Pelodiscus sinensis: one gene and its partner. Each later gene encodes a partner of the first gene's protein in a complex. Links are inferred from orthologs where the notes say so. Each region holds a gene or a part of one and is shown on either strand. Other genes may lie near its edges.

What was found.
Region 2: KANSL3 (region 1) and KANSL2 share a complex: the UniProt entries of both Homo sapiens proteins name them as parts of the NSL complex. The link is inferred for Pelodiscus sinensis from reciprocal best matches to the Homo sapiens genes KANSL3 and KANSL2.

What each region holds. Positions count from the first base shown.
Region 1 is NC_134738.1:5,844,403-5,853,700, forward strand, and holds the start of KANSL3 (KAT8 regulatory NSL complex subunit 3), read left to right. Parts: upstream 1-5,244; 5' UTR 5,245-5,386; intron 5,387-6,016; 5' UTR 6,017-6,089; coding exon 6,090-6,304; intron 6,305-9,298. Other genes in the region: FER1L5 (fer-1-like protein 5), read right to left, coding at 1-69, 1,769-1,824, 2,820-2,904. UniProt on the Homo sapiens protein: Non-catalytic component of the NSL histone acetyltransferase complex, a multiprotein complex that mediates histone H4 acetylation at 'Lys-5'- and 'Lys-8' (H4K5ac and H4K8ac) at transcription start sites and promotes transcription initiation.
Region 2 is NC_134729.1:5,181,870-5,191,663, forward strand, and holds the start of KANSL2 (KAT8 regulatory NSL complex subunit 2), read left to right. Parts: upstream 1-5,269; 5' UTR 5,270-5,401; intron 5,402-6,637; 5' UTR 6,638-6,639; coding exon 6,640-6,890; intron 6,891-7,663; coding exon 7,664-7,842; intron 7,843-9,794. UniProt on the Homo sapiens protein: Non-catalytic component of the NSL histone acetyltransferase complex, a multiprotein complex that mediates histone H4 acetylation at 'Lys-5'- and 'Lys-8' (H4K5ac and H4K8ac) at transcription start sites and promotes transcription initiation.

The DNA of each region.
Region 1 (9,298 bases):
CTCCCGGAGCTGTACGTCCAGGAAGGAGGCGCAGTCCAGGGGCTGATCTGCCAGGAGCCACACCAGCGTCTGCAGGAGAAGCAGCACAATATGCCCATCACCTGGCGCCGCGGGGCCAATTCTGGTCGCACTGACACTGGGTTAACTCCGCTACCTGGACCTCCCCTGAGATAGGGTCTGGAGTTACAAAGCGTCATGTCTCACAAGGTTTCTTCATGCACTGGGCTCAGCTGGCCTGTTGGTTCCAAGTAAGTTACTGGGCTGATTTGTCATCGCTTGCAGCCACTCGGATCCCACTTAATAAAATCACTTTTGTTTGTCATCCAGCGCCAGTAACTGCTGCCTGGGGGCGGAGGAACAGCTGGTGGCATCTCTCATTGGCGACGGGGACTGACCTGATCTTTCTCTGCGTAGAACTTTTATACGGAATCAAGTGGCTTTATCTGGGGGTTTGGTCTCATTGGGGCCATGCTCCCAAGTGCTGGCAAGTCCCTGTAACTGAGCCCCCCCCTCCCCTAAGCTGCTCTCAGTGTCTGTATTACTCTGCTGGGGGGGCTCTTACTCCAACCCTGTGCCATGGCTGGGGGAGGCCAGAGCTTCTGGCCCATCAGGACAGGTGGTGGGGCGCCCCCGAGGGCAGGCAGGTGGACTCAGTGGTATGATTAGCACATCGGGTGACAGTCCCAAGGGGATCTCTGTGACCTGACCTCTCACACCACGTTGGCCAGTTCTCTGGGTATGTCTACACTGCGAAGACACACCTGCAGTAGTAAATCCAGAGCCTGGGCCTAGAGACGCAGGCCCCCAGGGCTCAGCGACAGCGCTAAGAATAGCAGTGGGAAAGTTCCCAGTCCGGCTGGTGCGTGGGCTCTGAAATCCAGCGAAGGGTGCACGTAGGAGTTGTATAAATCCATGGAAGACTGATCCATCAATGGCTATTAGCCAGGATGAGCAGGGAGGGTGTCCCTGGCCTCTGTTTGCCAAAAGCTGGGAACGGGCAACGGGGTGGGATCAGCTGATTCCCTGTTCTGTTCTCTCCCTCCGGGGCCCCTGGCATTGGCCGCTGCCGGCAGCCAGGACCCTGGGCGAGATGGCCCTTTGGTCTGACCCAGAATGGCCATTTACACACCTGTGCCCCACACTGCAAAGAAGGTGACTCTCCCTCATCCCAGTTTCTCTGCCAATCTGACCCAGGGGGAAATTCCTTCCCGACCCCAAATACAGCAACCAGTTAGACCCTGCCCATGTGGGCAAGACCCACCAGGCGGATAGCTGGGAAGGAATCCTTTGCAGTAACTCTGTGTCCCATCTCTGGCCACTGCAGATCTTTGCTGGTAGCAGTCATAGGTCAGCTCCATGCCTTTGGGGGCAGCGCATCCGTCCTGCCATAAACTTACCAAGCTCAGGTAGGTCTTTGCCCCCACTGCTCCCCTTGGGAGCTTGTTTCAGACCAAGGCCGGATTAAGCGGGGGTTAGCTGGGCAGCTGCCCAGGGTGCAAGTATGGCTCGGTCCGGCGCTGTTCCAGACCTTCACCCCTCTGCTGGCTAGAAATCTTCACCTCATTTCAAGCCTAAACTTGACCAATGGGCTAGCAGCGTGTAGACTGGCCCAGAGGTCTGAGGGGTGGACTGACCCACACGTACACGCCAGTGCAATCACCCTCCGACAAAGCAGAATTTGCACATCAGTCTGGTAGATTCGGGGCAGCCTGCGCGCATGTGCCACATTTGGAGCAGAGGGGGAACACGCTTGCTAGCTGAGTCTTACCTCATTCCAGGTGGGATTCTGCTCCTTCTGCACGACTCTGGTGCTCCTTGTGACATCTAGGAGAGATTAGACATACCGCGGATGCCCCCAGCTTTCCACTGCCAGGCTGTGCCGTGGAGTCCTAGGTTCCAAGGCCGGAATGGGCCACTATGTTCATCTAGTCTGCCCTGCAGGCCAGGGGCCTGCCCTGACGGTCAAAGATGACACACAAGTCTAAACTTTCAAACTTTGGCAGGGATTTGGAGGGCCAGTTGCCTTTCATTTTCATAAAATCGAGGCATCTGAATCTCTCAGACACTTTGAAATCTCGGCCTTCGTGCCTACGAAGGTACGTTTCCTTCCCTGGCTTTGGTTTTGACCTGTGTTCTGCTTGGCGCAGATGCCTTAACAATGCTCCTGTGAGCCCCTTTAACTCCTGAAGGCCCTAACCCCGGGCAATCCTGGAGACTCCCCCCCCCCAAGCCTCCCCCCACAAAGTCACAGAGGCTGTTCAGAGAGCAGGGCCAGTGCAGGTGGGTTGCATCAGCTGACCCAGCATTGAGGGCACCGGGGAAAGGGAGGCCAGCTGAAGGGGAGTTTGGAGGCTGCCAGGGCCCCTGGGCGAGGAGGAAGAGAGTGCCTGAGACCTGATCTGGAAGGGGCATCCAGGGAGAAAAGCCCTGGGTGTGGAACAGGGCATAGAAGCAGGCGCAGCAGGACTGCCAGACTTCCCGGGAAGGGCGGCTGTGGGAGCCGGAGAGCGAAGGGGAGGAGCCAGGGGGAGGTTTTGTTGAAGCCACTACAAGAAAGCAGCAGAAAAGAGAGATGGGTGTGTTGGAGGCCTTGTCGAGAAGGGGGAAGCCCTGCCTTGTTACAAACCCCGCTGCACAGCTCATGGGGGGGGGGAGGGCGGCTTCTTGTCTTGTCCTTCAGTACTAAGTAGATTCATTGCCTCCGTACCACTCAGCTCGGAACAGCAGGAGGCCCTTGATGTGCAGAGACAAAATGCACCTGAGACGGGCAAAGGGTTATCGACTTATCTCCAGGGAAATAGGGAGCAAATAGTTGTTACCTCTGAAGGTGGCAGACACGTGGGAGTCAGGTGTGGTGAATTTTGCAGGGGGGATGTTGGCAGACAGAACCACGAGGTGCAGCATTTCTGTTCCACCTCTGCTGATGCTCTCCCTTCTTCGTAGCCAATGACTTTATTCTGTAACCATACAAGCCCTTCAGTACTTCCTTCTTTCCCCTTTACTCTGCCCATCCCTGTTTTTTGTCCTGTCAGTGGGTTGTTAGTAGCAGTAACTCATGTGTTTACAGCTTACCTCCGAATGCCGCTTTGTGGCTTTGTCTCACTGGAAGTCCTGTCTGTACGGAATGCACTTTCCGTTTCCAGGAAGTAGATCAGAGTGAGGCATGACATCACATAGAGGAAAAGGCCAAATAGTGCATCTAGGAAGTGATGCCATAATAGGAAAGAAAGAGGCTTCCATTCATAGATCAGCGAGGGTCAGCTGTTTGATCCCATGCTATGGCTTTGGAGATAAAACCTGAGGTGCTGACTGCCTTGGCTATTGGTAGTACCTGGACATTTTTTGGTGTCTTGAACAAATTCCCACATTGATGTCTGCATTCAGCCTGCTGCTTCCACTGGATACAATGCTTTTTTCACTTTGACCTAAGACATCATGTAGTGTTGATCTGAGTTGTTAAACAATGGCCAAGCTACCCTCCAGACTTGGCTACATGTAATTGGTGGGCAAATCACCCTCTTTCTTAACATGAAGTTTTGTTCTGTGTTATGAGTCACTGATAAGGTTTTGGAGACATGATAGACTAATAATCATTGGGTGTCCTTTCCTTCCCTGGAAATGTACCTAGCCCACATAGCCAGTGTAAGACTTGCCTAATGTGTGAGAACCCTGGAGGTAGCAGTTGGTCAAACAAAGATCCAATTACTGCTTATTTCAGCAGCTTGTGGAAACTCCCTAAGCAGAGTAAGAGGCTGCTGGGGGACCTATGCAAACACTGAACGCAGGGTGGTGGGTGAAGCTTCTGCTGGGGAGGTGACCTTCCTACCCTCATCTTCTCCCTGTGCCCAACACACATTCGACCCCTTCTCCCCTCCAGGCCACGCCCTCACCCCACTGTCTTCTTCTCTTCCCTCCCACTCCCTGTTCATCCTCTTCCACCCAAATCCCTGAGCCCAAATGAAACAAATGATATCACCCCCCCCCACTCTTCTGCATTGTCTTTCTGAAGAAAATGGAGCGTGTTTTCCATTGCATGCCAGGTGGTGAAGACTGGGCAAGCAGACGGTACCTTACTGAAAGCACTAAACTTGTGAATAAAAAATGTCAGTTACATGTGTTTTGATATACCCTGAGGTTTGTCAGAGGTTTATTTGCAAAAAGTTTGTAGTAAAGGGATTAGTCAGCTGTCCTGCTGAATACAACATGAAATATATTATGGAATACATCATAGATTCCCAAACTGGGGGGCATGCCCCCCCTTGGGGTGTGTGAAGAGATTCCAGGGGGGCGCAAGGCAACCCAGCCCCCCCCGTCAACCTCCCCCCGCCCCTCCCCCAAGAAAGAGCCTGGTCAGTCTGGTAAAAAAAATTCAGAAAATACCATGTGAAATGTCCAGTATTTTCTATTTTTCCTGGCTTGGGTGTCCACTGGAACACACACCTGGAGTATTGGTACCTTTGTTTTTACACAGGTCCTGGGAATCAAAGGGGCCACGACTGTTTTTTGGGCCTGGTCAGTTCCTTTCTTTTTTTTTTGCTCAACAAGTTTTGGGGGGGCAGGTGTGAGGGTTTCTCAAAAATCAAAAAGGGGGTGTGATTCTGAAAAGTTTGGGAACCCCTGGAATACATGATAGAGCTCTTCAGGGTTGTACATTTTCTTAACCAGTGTTTCTAAGCCGATTTATAATTAAAATACACTCTTAACCCTTCATCAAGTAACCATTCCAGAGTGCTACATACAAGAGACCCTCCTGGATGGGATCCCTTCATGGAAGCGCTGTTTGCAGTTGCATGTATTTGTGGGTCTCTCCTATCCCCTGCATTGCACCACATCCCCCGGCTTGGGGGGGGTCGATGCAGCCTCGGTGGGAGCAGGGATCGGGATTCTGCCCCGCACTCACCCTGGCATCGGGGAGGCCCTACCCCAGTATTTGCCTATTTCGCCATCGGCGGTGGTGCCAGGAACACCAGGGTTTCCGGAATTTAACTCACTGAAACCAAGATACTAGTTTAAGTGACTGGGGCTCTGTGCACCCGGAGTTTCATGCACCAGTGTGATCAGGGCACCAGGGCTGGGAGAGAGCTCGGCTCACACGGGGGCACCGGGGCTGGGAGAGAGCTCGGCTCACACGGGGGGGGGGGGCACCAGGGCTGGCCAGCAGGCCCCGTGGCTGCGCTGCGACAAGCCTCCCCCATTCAGCCTTCCTGGCCCAGCTCCGCTCCGCGCGGGGCCGATCCGCTCTCCGGCATGTGTCAGCGCCGCGCGCTCCGCTCCGAGGTCCGGGCTCCGGGGTTTGCGGGAGCGGCGCCTGCGCAGTGCGCGGGGCCGGGCGGGCGGCTGAGGCCTGGTGGAACGGCGAGAGCCTGAGGCGCGGAGCCGGCCCCGGGTGAGCGGAGCGGAGCCCCCCCCCGAACCCTCCCCCAGCGCCCTGCCCCCCCAGGACCCCCCCGGACCTTGCTCCCCCCCCTTGCGGCGCGCCTGGGCGGGGGGCGGGGCAGGGGGTTTGGGGGGCAGGACGGGATTTGGGGGGAGGGGAGCGGGGGGTTTGGAGGGGCAGGGGGGATGGGAGCGGGGGGTTTGGGGGGGCAGGATGGGATTTGGGGGGATGGGAGCGGGGGGCAGGGCAGGGGGCTTGGGGGGGCAGGGTGGGATTTGGGGGGATGGGAGCGGGGGGTTTCGGGGGGCAGGGTGGGGGCAAGGGGTTTGGGGGGGCAGGGTGGGATTTGGGGGGAGGGGAGCGGGGGGTTTGGGGGGGCAGGGTGGGATTTGGGGGGATGGGAGCGGGGGGCAGGGCAGGGGGCTTGGGGGGGCAGGGTGGTGGTGGTGCCAGTTCGTAGCAGGAGGGCCCTGACTGGGGGCATTCTGGGGCTGGAGCAGTTTGCACACACGCTAAGGGGCCCCAGGCTGTCTGGCGAGGTGGGGGTCTGTCCTGTTTTGTGCTTTATTGGGGCTGGGTCAATACAGCAGGGCCCTTTTCCTGCAGCATGTTCACCCTCCCTCTCCTGTCCTGTCCCAGTGCAAGGAGGCCAGGATGAGGAGCCGGAAGAGGCATTTACGTTGGCGCTAGATGCTGGGACGACCCAGAAGACATGACCTACCGAGGCACTGAGCGGGACTTCCAGACTTCAGCCAGGAGGATGGGAACCTCGTTGCTCTTCCAGCTCTCTGTCCATGAGAGAGAGCTAGACCTCGTCTTCTTGGACCATAGCTATGCCAAGCCATGGAGTGCCCACCCTGACGCCAGCAGTGCCCGGCCTGCACGGATGCTTTTCGTCACCCCCAGGAGGCACCAAGACAGCAGCATGTGAGCAAAGCCCTTTCTAGTGCTTCTGAGTTAATTTGCTTTGGATTCACACATATTTTGGATACTCCTTTCCTATGCTCTGATGGCTTTCTTGCTTTCTGTATCTGCTTTCAAGGTGCTTTTCAACACAGTAGGTAACATATTAAAACCCCAGCATAAGAACATAGAATGGCAAGACTGGGTCAGGCCAAAGGTCCTTCTAGCCCAGACAGTGGCCAATGCCAGGTGTCCCAGAGGGAAAGAACAGAGCAGGGAATGATCAAGCTTCTGACACACACTGGCAGAGGACACCATTCCTACCCGTCCTGGCTAATAGCCATCGATGGACCTGTCCTCCACGAATTTATCCAGCTCTTTTTTGAACCCTGTTAAAGTCCTAGCTTTCACAACAGCCTCTGGCAAGGAATTCCACTGGTTTTGTGTTGTATGAAGAAATGTTTCCTTTATTTTAAACTTGCTGCCTATTCATTTCATTGGGTAACCCTGAGTTCTTCTGTTATGAGGAGTAAATAACACTTTCTTCTCTATACCAGTCATGATTTTATAGATCTCTACCATATCTCTCGGTAGTAGTCTCTTTTCCCAAACTGAAGAGACGCAGTCTTCTCTTTGCTCGTGTGGAAGCTGTTCCATACCCCAGTCATTTTTGTTGCTTTTTTTGTACCTTGTCCAATGTCAATATATCTGTTTCAAGATGGGGTGACCACATCTGCATGTCGCTTACCATGAACTTATATAGAGGCATTATGATATTTTCTGTCTTATCTGTCCCTTTCTTGATGATTCCCAACATTCTATTCACTTTTTTGGCTGCTGCTGCACACTGAAGGGATGTTTTCAAAGACGTATGCACAATGACTCCAAGTTCTCTTGAATGATACCAGTTAATTTAGACTCCATTTATGTGCCAAGTTGAGTTTTCCAATATGCATTACTTTACATTTGTCAACATTGAATTTCATCTGTCAGTTCTCTAAACAGGACAATTTGTACCTGACCATGTAAGCTGTAGAAGTTCTCCCCTAGAGGGCAACCTGCTTTGTCTAGAATCAATTTTTAAAGCATTAACACACACTAATTGAGCTGGGTTTGAAGTTTTCAGTTAAATGTCAGATATACTGATATTTCTAAATTGAAACTGTTGCTGTTAGACTTTCCCCTTTTGAAAAAAAAATGAAAACAATGTTTTGGAATTGTGAGAATTCCATTTTGAAAATTTGCAGCCTTTTTCATTTTCAACCTTTTTTCATTTGCAGGCCCCTAAACATTTCAAATGGAGGTGCTGACCCATTTGGAAATTTAAGACATCTGCAGACCTCCAGGGGCCTGCAGACCACAGGTTGAAAACAACTGTGCTACATTGATGAGCCCATTATCAGATATTTATTCCGCACATAGGTACTTTCAGCCTGTACTCAAGTCACCCTTTAGTCTTCTCTTTGTTAAACAAAATAGATGAGCTGCTTGTGTCTTTCATTATAAGACAGGCTTTCTAAGCCTTAATCATTCTTGTGGCTCTTCTTTGGACTTCTCCAGTTTATCTATACCCATTTTGATTTGTGGGCAGCAGAACTGCACACAGTATTCCAGCATCGGTCTTACCAGTGCCAAGTAAAGAGTAGGATGTAAAATCCCATTTAATTAGTTAACTGGTTAAATATTAAGTTTAACCAGTTAACTGATTAAAGGGGAAAGATGGGGAGAGGGAGAGGTGGTTAACTGTTACCCAGTCACATCTCTAATACAGAGGTGAAATTAATTTTCTGCTCTTTCACTAGATATTGAAATTAAATTTTGTAATTGACTTGATTGGAGACATTTGTTGCATTTCCAATTTATGTACATTTGCCAGATTTTGAATTTTCACCTAGGGTATGTCTATGCTACAGAGTTTTGTCAGAAAAACAACTGTTTTTCCAACAAAACTTGAGGAATGTCAAAACTGCAATTGCATTCTTCCTCAGGAAAATCAAAAGAACAGAGGGGTTTTTCCGGCATTGGTAATCCTCATTCTGCGAAGAAGCAGCCTTTTTCTGAAACAGCTCTAGATTCAGGATGAGAGTATTTTTCAAAATCTCAAAAATTTTCCTGGGTCAGGAAAATTGTTTCCTGCCTAGCTCCAGTGCGAACATCATACCTTTACATTCTGGTCTAGACAAGGCCTGAAACATTCAGTAAGTCCAGTTAAAGTGTAGAAATCTGCTTAGAAAAAGCTAATCATGTAAGTACAGTGGCTTTGTTTTGACTACACTTTTAGAAGCAGTTAATTAGGTTGAGTTGGGTAGTTTGAGCTAACATCATATTGCTATATTTTATTCTAAACAAAACCTTTAGGGTGTGTCTACATAGCACCATAGCTTGAAATAAGCTTATTTCGTACTTTTGCGCCAAATTTCAGAATATCTTGAAACGTCCCTTATTCCTTGTGGAATGAGGTTTACAGGGATTTCGGAATAGCGAGTCTGTTATGTTTTGAAATAGCTATTCCACATCTTGCTGTGAAGATGTGGGATAGCTATTTTGGGATACTCTGGTATCCCGAATTAGCGCTTCAGGGTAGACGTAGCCTTAGAGAGGAACTGGGCATGAGCTAATAACTTTGCAGACCCAGTCTACACTACAGAATGTCACCATGGCTGACCATGGTTGCTGGGCTTGGGAGCTAGCTAAATGCTGACTGCATTTGAGAAGTCTGACTGCCTTCAGCTGATAGTGACAGCTGGGTCATTCCCTGTCTCCAGCATCATATGCGCTCATGTGATTACTGAGGACTATAGTTAGAGTAAAATTTCCAAGTGCAGACCAGGCCTCAGCCTGCCTCTGCAAAAGGTGGGGAGGTTGGTAGTTCTCAGAAAGCAAACCACGGCCACTGGGGCTGTGACTGTGGAAACTCACCATAAACAAACTGTCTCATGGCCTGTAAGCGAATTACCGTGATGGACCCAGATGCAGCCTACAGGTTGCTTGCCACTGAGCTAATGCAACTCTTGGATG
Region 2 (9,794 bases), on another chromosome or scaffold:
CCAGGGAGTCTCAGTCTGTGTGGAGTTCTCAGCCAGTACCAGCCTCATCTGGCTTTGGGTGCAAAACTTTTATTCCCTCTTTACCTATGTAACACTGAGACTCTCAGCAGGGGTTTGGCCGTTGCTTGACCTGCACCTTTTGTGGCACATTCACTATCTCTTTAATCAAGCCATTAATGAGGTTGCTTCTTTTACATCACAGACACTTTGTAGCTCTGCCCTTTTTGCTATTAATGATTTTTTTTAGCAGGTGAGCAGTTTACTGCTTCAAATGTAGCCGCCTCAGGGGTTGGATGGAGAAGACCCTTCATAGGGTTCAACATGCAGGGGTTTCTCTGGGAGTGGGGGGCGGGGTGTGTCTTGCTGTTGTCTGGAATAAAATCTATTTTAATGGCTACATTTCTAGCACTTCCAACTGCCACTTTCCCGCTGGGATTGATGCTCTGCTGTCTTAGCCCTCGGCCATAAACAAGTGAATTTCATGGCCAAGCTGCAGGAATTGTATTCCCATCTAGACTCTACATGAAAAGGCCAGTCTTTCAAAAGTGCCCAGCACCGGACTTGAGATCGCTCATGAAGCTAGAATTTGGAGGGTTGTGTAAAACATCCAGCTGTATTAAATGAAGGGGAAAACCCAACAGTACTTAAATGTATCACCTTCACCACATGAGCTTGCAAATCCTGCATAGTTCATGGTCTGAGAGGCCTGGCTTTGCAGGTGTTTGTGCTGTATGGTGGATCCTGTTTAAAGAAAGGGGCCTGGGTTAGGATGTGGAGCACAGAAATTCTGGAGAAACATCTGTTCTCTAGGTTTCCTTTGCTTTTGATTTAAAAAAAAAAAAGTTCATAAGACAGTACAAAAAGGTAAATGACTAAAAGGGGTTTCCTTTTTAAGATACAGTAAGAGTTCAGCTTAAATCACGGAGAAACTTTCTTCTGGCATTCCTGCCCAAAATGGATCTTGCATCCCAGATGGAAAAAGAGCACAATGCACGGAGAAATCATTAGTGTTTCAGGCACTCTTAAATGCATGAATTCAGTGTCTGTTGTACCATCTAAAATTGCCTCTAGGTTTTATCCAGGTGTCTTAATGTGTTCATGTAAGAGAGCAGAGAATCTGACTTCTGATGTACTATGGGCTCAACTTACCCATTCTTCCTATCGCAGGCATCAGTGGATCAGGAAATGGAAACTGGAGGCCCTGACTTAAACCCCTTTGACATTCTGTGGTGACTCCGGTATAAGCTGACTTTCCTTCTGGCAGTGGAAAGAATGGCATGGGTGTAAGTCACTGGCTGTTGGAGGTGGGGTGGGGGCTGCTCTACTTGCAAGTTGCTTTTCCTGCAGTACCCTTTTCTGTGTAAGTTACCTGGCTTCCTCACCACTGAATGCTATATCTGCAAAGGAGGATACTCCATCATACTCACTCGGTGTGAACTGTAAAATGCTGCTGAAGTTGGCAGACGGGTGTTCCGATCTTATCTTCCAAATCCGACTGGAAAGTGGGGGTAAAAGACAGGGTGTGTGAAACCTCTGCAGTGAGGGAAGGCAGCAGTCCTGCCTGAATTTTCCACCCCACAGATAATCTCTGGCAGTGGTGAAGCTGCTCACTCTCTGGTCAGACACACCAAAAACATTTTGAGTGTGAAGATAGCAACCCTGCCCCTAGTAGCACTCCATGCGTTTTCCTCTCTGAGCACCTGTGGTCTAAAATTCTTTCATCCTTTGGGGAAGAAAGGGTGACTGGCAGGGGTGAGGGAGGAAGGGTAATTTAATACTATTCTGAACTGTTTATAAATATTTAAACTGTGGACACTTTTAAAAAAGAGAAGTTTGCTACAATTCCATGGTAAACTCATTTCCTTCAAGATACGGCTGTCTGGGAAGGGCACAACTGGCCTGAGTCTTCAGAGCCAACCACCTTTGGTCTGTGAAAGGGATGCTTGACAGCATTCAAAGCTACTGGTGCTTCACAACACCTTTGTACTAGAGGTTCTTGGGGTGGGTGGGTGATACAACTGTGCTGTTGCTAAGCTTTCTTTCTACAATTACCTAAAACGCAGATTGGAGTCCAATGTCACTTTCTTTTTTTAAACCCACATCAAGCCAAAGAGCAAAGTCAATGTGTGTTCTGATCTCACACTCAGGGTCTGCCTTATGGTTGCAAACTGACCGATTTTTTTTTTCTCCCCCTGCCCCCCTTTCCACCGCCGCTGTTGCCCTTGTCCTGATACCTACTGCATTCTCTGCCCTCTTTCCATCCCACCCCAATACAAAATGTGATGACTTTCAGCAAGAGCGTCTTGTGCACAAACAAGCAGGAAACTGGTTAACCAATTTGGCATCAGGTGTTTGGGATCTTGCTGTCAAGTATGTTCTCTGTATTTATCCACATCAATAAAAGTTAAAGGCAAAGGAGTCAAAGAATTCATCTGCTTCTTGGTTTTGTTTTTTTAAACTGGTAATTGCTATAATTCTGAAGGAAAAGTAGGCTGGCCATGAGGTTAAGGCATGGATTTAAAAAGAGAGACCGTTTCTTTTCCTGAGTCTGCCCTAGACTTTGTGGCCATTTCTTAGTTTCCTATAGAGAAAGGGGATTGGAGTGTCAGCCTCTTGTTAAAACACTTGGAGAAAAAAATGGTGTGTAACTACAAGAGGAATACCCCCCTAGCTGATTTCATCTGTTTGTGTGTGTAGAAAAATAGGAAGGGCTCTTACATGCCATTGAAAAGTAATTGCAAAAGTGTGTTCTTACTCTCTTGTGCATAATTCACTATTCAGCCTTCATTGCAATGAAGGCTGGATACCCAGTCATGAAAAGGAATTCCAGTGTGATGAGGTTCACATTGAATTTATAGTTGAGGACCATGATGGCCAATGTATTAGCCACTAGCCGTGTGTGGCTGTTTGGCCGGCTGAGTGTGGCTTGTTTGCTGAAGTGGCTACTGCTTCAGAACTGGTTGAACACAATGTGTCTAGGAGGAATAGCTCAAACCCTAGTTTGTACATTAAACAGCTGGAATTTTCTTCCCTTCCAATGTCTCTGATAATGGTTCCAGACAGGGCTATTTTGTCCAACTAGGCATGGCTCCCATAGCCAGGGTTGCCTAGTTTGGCTAAGGCTGTGAAGTCACTGTTCTCTTGATAGCCTTTTAGCACCTCTGAAAGGATGGGCTGGTCTTAATCCACAAAGTTAACCTGTCCGGGTTTGACTCACTCCCCCCACCGTAGTTCTGAGAACTAGCTGCAGCCATGGTACTGGTTATTGGGGGTCCAAGTTCTTCAGAGTCAAGTAGAGGCTGGCAACTTTTTTAAAGTGGGTGGTGGGGAGAAGAAGGAAGAGAAACAAGCCCAGCAATAGGCTGCTGGGGCCCTGTCCATAGGGGCTGCTGCTGTGACACAGGAGCGGTTGACTCTAGTAGAGGAAAGGAGAACCACCACTTATTTGTGCACTTGGACCTGCTGTCTGAAGCCACACTGCATAGAATCACAGGCTGGCCTCCTGCTTGGGCCTGATGAACTCAATCAGCAAGCAGGCACGGGGAATGTCTGTCTAATGAGAAGGGGTGGCTGAGCCTCAACCCCACTGCCCTGAGTAAGGGAAGGGACTGTTCAGCCAGACGTTACTCCCTTTGCCTGGAAGGGTCCCTTTGGGTCAGGAGCAAACCGAAGTGCAGAAGGGATAGGGAAGCCATAGAGCTGTGGTGTCCAACAGGAAAGCCACTAGCCACATGTGGCTATTTGGCCGGTTGAGTGTGGCTAGTTTGCTATAGCAGTAGCCATTATGGAACTGGTTGGAAGGGGAGCGTTACTGCAAGAGCAACTGGGAAGCAGCATAGCAGCTAAACTTGCTCTATGATGGTCCATCTAGCCAGCATCCTGTCTTCTGACAGTGGACAGTGTTCATTCCAGAGGGAATAAACTGGTCACCCATTCCTAGCTTCTGACAAACAGAAACTAGGGACACCACCCCTGCTCGTCTTGGCTAATAGCCATGGACCTAACCTCCACTTTTTTTTTCTTTTTTTTTTTGGCCTTCACAGCATCCTCAGGCAAGGAGTTCCACAGGCTGACTGTGTTATGTGAAGTGCTTCCTTTGGCTTGTGTTAAACCTGCTACCGGTTTGTCCTTCCAGCCCTGAGTTTAGGCTAGGCAGATCACTGTGGGCAGCAGCAGAATTGAGGCCTAGAGACAGACAGATGCACCCAGAGCCAGGAACTGGATCTGACTTGGCCAAGTCCAGCCTCATTTTCTCTTCCTCTTCAAGAATTACTGTGGCTGTGTCTAGACTGGCCAGTTTTTCTGGAAAATCAGCCGCTTTTCCGGAAAACCTTGCTAGCTGTCTACACTGGCTGCTTGAATTTCCGCAAAAGCACTGACTTCCTACTGTAAGAAATCAGTGCTTCTTGTGGAAATACTATTCTGCTCCCGTTCAGGCAAAAGTCCCTTTTGCTCAAAGCTTTTGCACAAAAAGCTCACACAGCTCAGATTTGTTTTCCGCAAAAAAGCCCCGATCGCGAAAATGGCGATAGGGGCTTTTTTGCGGAAAAGCGTGTCTAGATTGGCACGGACGCTTTTCCGCAAAAAGGGCTTTTGCGGAAAAGCGTCCGTGCCAATCTAGATGCTCTGTTCCGAAAATGCTTTAACGGAAAACTTTTCCGTTAAAAGCATTTCCGGAAAATCATGCCGCTCTAGACGCAGCCTGTGTGTTTAGTGAATGAAAGAGCTCTGGATGCCCAGCTTGGGGACACCACATGCCCCAGGCAGGGGGGGCTGGGCTGTTTCATCACCAGTTTGCCTATGGGTGCTTTTGGGGAGGGGTAATGCCGCAGGATTCCTCTGCTTCAAAATGCACCCCAACCTATAGCCCCATCCCTTCCCCCGCCAGCCCAGCCTCTCCACCTCCATAGCCATCCCCTCCCCACTCCTGACCTGCCCAGCTCTGCCTCCCTCTTCCTTCCCCTCCATAGCCATACCCTCCTGATCAGCCCAGCCCCATCTTCTGCCCTTTGCTTCCTGCCCTACTTCCCCACCACCATCCCCTCCCCTTCCTGCCCCCCCAGCCCAGCCTCTCCTGCCCCGCCCTCCCAACAGTAGTCCTACCCCATGGTCCATACCCCCTCCTCTCTCTCCCCCTGCATTACCCACACCCTCCAGCCCTTCCCCCACTCCTCCCCCTCCCCTCCCCTCCCCTCCCCTCCAGCCCTTCCCCCACTCCTCAGAAGCCTGCTCTCCCCGCCCCCCCTCCCGTCCCTGCAGGGGGCTGGCCTCGGCTCCCGGACTGATGGGTCTCTCCTCCAATGGCCGCGACGGGGCGGCCTCCTTCCCGTTCCTGGATTGGTGGCGAGTCTGGCCAATGGTGCGGCGGGGGCGGGCGCCAGTCGGTCTAGGCGCGGGCGAGGTAAGATGGCGGCGGTGTTTCCTTGCTAGGCCGATGGCGCGGCCCCCCCCCCAGGCAAAATGGCGGCGCTGAGGGGGGAACCTGCGGGGAGTTAGGGGGACCAGCCCGTAGGAGGCAGGGGGCAGAGCCTGGGGGCGGCCTGTGTTCGGGACCGCCTGTGGGGGTGGGGGGAGTCAGAAGCAGCTGGGGGTCAGCCTGTGGGGGGGGAGGGGAGAGCGGCTTGGGGGTCAGCCTGTGGGGGGGGGAGGGGAGAGCGGCTTGGGGGTCAGCCTGTGGGGGGGGAGGGGAGAGCCGCTTGGGGGTCAGCCTGTGGGGGGAGGGGAGAGCGGCTTGGGGGTCAGCTTGTGGGGGGGAGGGGAGGGGAGAGCGGCTTGGGGGTCAGCCTGTGGGGGGGGGAGGGGAGGGGAGAGCGGCTTGGGGGTCAGCCTGTGGGGGAAGCCCATGAGGGGGGCTGGGGAAAGTTGGGGGGGAACCATCCTGTGAGGTCTGCGGTCCAGGGAAGCAGCTGGGGGGGGGGGTCTGCCTCCCCCAGGGCATGTTTCAGATTCACATTCCCAAGTGGGGTTGGAAGCTCTTCAGGGCAGGGACACAGCACAGAGCCCGTGACTCTGGCTGGGGCCTCCCCTTCCTTTCCCGACACCTGTCAGGGCCTTAGGGTGGGGGTGGGATTGTGGCCCCTGAGCCCACGGCAGAATGTGGTGGGTGAGTCTTGGCAAAGGGGTGTCCTAGTTCTCTGTGGCAGGGGTGGGATGCAGGTGACTCTCACCCTGGAAGGGGCTATCTGGAGAACAGACCCTCCCCTTCCATGTTTTTCCTCCTTGCTGAGGAGACAGTCATGGCACAAAAAATGTGCCTGGGTCTGAATGGCAAAGAGTCTGAGTTGGGCCTCTCCCCATCCTCTTCTGTTTTGGGACCTCCACTGCCAGACAGCACAATGTGAATGCAGGGGACGGAAGTGGCAAAGTGACCAGAGATGCCATGAAGCTCCCACCTCCCAATGAAGAGCAGAATAAACCAAGACTGTAGGAAGGATTCCCTCGTCCTATTCTGTCTTGTAGTACTGAGGTGTCTTATTTTGTGCCAGGACACTGTCTGTATAGCACAGGGATTTATACCAACACTTTGACAAATTATTTGGTCCCTTTGATGATGATAACAGAGGCTGATCAGTTGTACTAGCTTGTGGGGTTTGCTCTAGATATAACAATTATCTGTACGTGTCTGTTGCATGTGTAGGCATGAACAGAATCCGGATCCACGTCTTGCCATCAAGTCGGGGGCGTGTTACCCCTGTGCCAAGGCCCCAGGAACCCTTGCCTTGTGCCTTCACACACCGTCAGTGTTCCCAGCCTCGGCTGGAAGGGCAAGAATTCTGCATTAAGCACATCCTAGAAGACCGGAATGCTCCCTTCAAACAGTGCAGCTATGTCTCAACTAAGAATGGGAAGAGGTGTCCAAATGCTGCTCCCAAAACTGAGAAGAAGGACGGGTAGGTGCTGGTAGAATTAAAGTGGCTTGGCAGGAATATCTTGTCATGCGAAGTATCAATCCCATGGCTAAGGCACAATACAAGGAGCCAGGAGTTTTAGTTTTAGTCCTAGTTAGGCTGCTTTCTCATTGTGGGACCTTGAACAAGTCAGTCTGTCTTTAGCCATCTGCAAAGTGGGAGTAATTATCTGATAGAGGAATTAAAAGTTCATTAATGCTTATAAAGTGCTTTGAGATCCTTGGGTGAAAGGGGCTGGAGAATTGTGTAATGTTTGTTTCCTGGTGCTGGCATCACTGCAGATTTTTATCTTCAACAGTCATAGTGTCAGTTTGGAAATAAGTACGCCCTCTGAGATCACAAATATTTGAATCCCCGGAATTTTGAGTGGAGTCCTTGTGAGGTAAAGATGTTCAGCCCTATGCACGTGGGTCATTAAAAATCCTAGTATCAGTTTTTTGTAAGAGGGAGGGCTTGACCTCGTCCCCTCATCTTACTGCTAGGCCATGTGGCTGCCACCTTCATGGCAGAGGTAACTGCATTTCAGTGGTTGTGCGTGTGGTTTGTCAATCATATATTCTTTAATATATTAGGAACTATACAAATGACTGTCAGAGTTGCTTGAATTTATCATTGTGTTGGAGGAAAGAAGTGGAGATGACTCCTTTTCTAAGCCAAGTGCCAGTGAATACTTTTCACTATATTGCTGTGTTTGCCTTGCTGATTGGAAGCTATGAATTCTGCGAGCCATACAACATTTTGTTTTGTCCCCGCAGGGTATCATTCTGTGCTGAACATACCCGCAGAAATGTGCTGGCACATCAAGCCCAGCTGAAGAAATCCAGCCCTGGACCTATGGGCGAGACTCTTCTTTGCCAACTTAGCACTTATGCAAAGACGGAGCCGGGCTCCCAGACAGCAGAAAGCAGCCGCAGTGAAGCTAGTCGAATCCTAGGTAAGAGTTTCGAATGAAACAGATGAGAATAAATGAATTTGGGGGAAGCTGCGCTCTCTGGGGCTAAAATACAAGAGGAACCAATAACACAGTCACCCAATTAAGAGGAAAAGGAACAATCCCAAGGGATCTGTGGTAAAAAACCATTGTGTCTTAAGATAGACTGTGCTTACTGGTCTCATCACTGGACCCTAAGTCAGGATCTCCTGGTGTTACCCTAGTTAAGCTACGCCTTTCTGGGCTTAGGTTTTCCCCTCCTGTAAAACATGGGACAATGCATCCAAATGAATTTGTGAAATTTAATTAGTAAACATCTGTTCAAGTGCTCCTCTTACTATCCTATCTGAAGAATACCCTTACTACTTCAGCTTGCAGGTTCTGTGCCCTATACAGTGGCTCTCAACCGTTCCAGAGTACCATATCCCTTGCAGGAGTCCGATTTGTTTTGTGTACCCCCAGGCTTCACCTCATTTAAACTTACTTGCTTACAAAATCAGACACTATTACTGAAATAACGCTATTACTGAAAAATTGCTTGCTTTTTCATTTTTACCCTGTAATTATAAAATAAATTGGAATATAAATATTGTACTTACATTTCAGAGTATGGTATAAAGAGTAGTATAAGCAAGTCATTATCAATATGAAATTTTAGTTTGTACTGACTAGTGTTGTAATAGTGTATCATAGAATACTAGGACTGGAAGGGACCTCGTGAGGTCGAGTCCAGTCCCCTGCCCTAATGGCAGGACCAAATACTGTCTAGACCATCCCTGATAGACATTTATCTAACCTACTCTTAAATATCTCCAGAGATGGGGATTCCATAACCTCCCTGGGCAATTTATTCCAGTGTTTGACCACCCTGACAGATAGGAACTTTTTTCTAATGTCCAACCTAAACCTCCCTTGCTGCAGTTTAAGCCCATTGCTTCTTGTTCTATCCTTAGAGGCCAAGATGAACAAGTTTTCTCCCTCCTCCTTATGACACCCTTTTAGATATCTGAAAACTGCTATCATGTCCCCCCTCAATCTTCTCTTTTCTAAACTTAAACAAACCCAATTCCTTCAGCCTTCCCTCTTAGGTCATGTTCTCTAGACCTTTAATCGTTCTCGTTGCTCTTCTCTGGACCCTCTCCAATTTTTCCACATCTTTCTTGAAATGCGGTGCCCAGAACTGGACACAATACTCCAATTGAGGCCTAACCCCAGCGCAGAGTAGAATGGAAGAATGACTTCTCGTGTCTTGCTCACAACACACCTGTTAATACATCCCAGAAACATGTTTGCTTTCTTTGCAACAGCATCACACTGCTGACTCATATTTAACTTGTGGTCCACTATAACCCCTAGATCCCTTTCTGCCGTACTCCTTCCCAGACCGTCGCTTCCTATTCTGTATGTGTGAAACTGATTGTTCCTTCCTAAGTGGAGCACTTTGCATTTGTCTTTATTAAACTTCATCCTATTTATCTCAGACCATTTCTCCAATTTGTCCAGGTCATTTTGAATTATGACCCTATCCTCCAGATTAATCGCAATCCCTCCCAGTTTGGTATCATCTGCAAACTTAATAAGTGTACTTTCTATACCAATATCTAAATTGTTGATGAAGATATTGAACAGAGCCGGTCCCAAAACAGACCCCTGCGGAACCCCACTTGTTATGCCTTTCCAGCAGGATTGTGAACCATTAATAACTACTCTCTGAGTATGGTTATCCAGCCAGTTATGCACCCACCTTATAGTAGCCCCATCTAAGTTGTATTTACCTAGTTTATTGATAAGAGTATCATGCAAGACCGTATCAAACGCCTTACTAAAGTCTAGGTATACCACATCCACCGCTTCTCCCTTATCCACAAGACTCGTTATCATATCAAAGAAAGCTATCAGATTGGTTTGACATGATTTGTTCTTTACAAATCCATGCTGGCTGTTCCCTATCACCT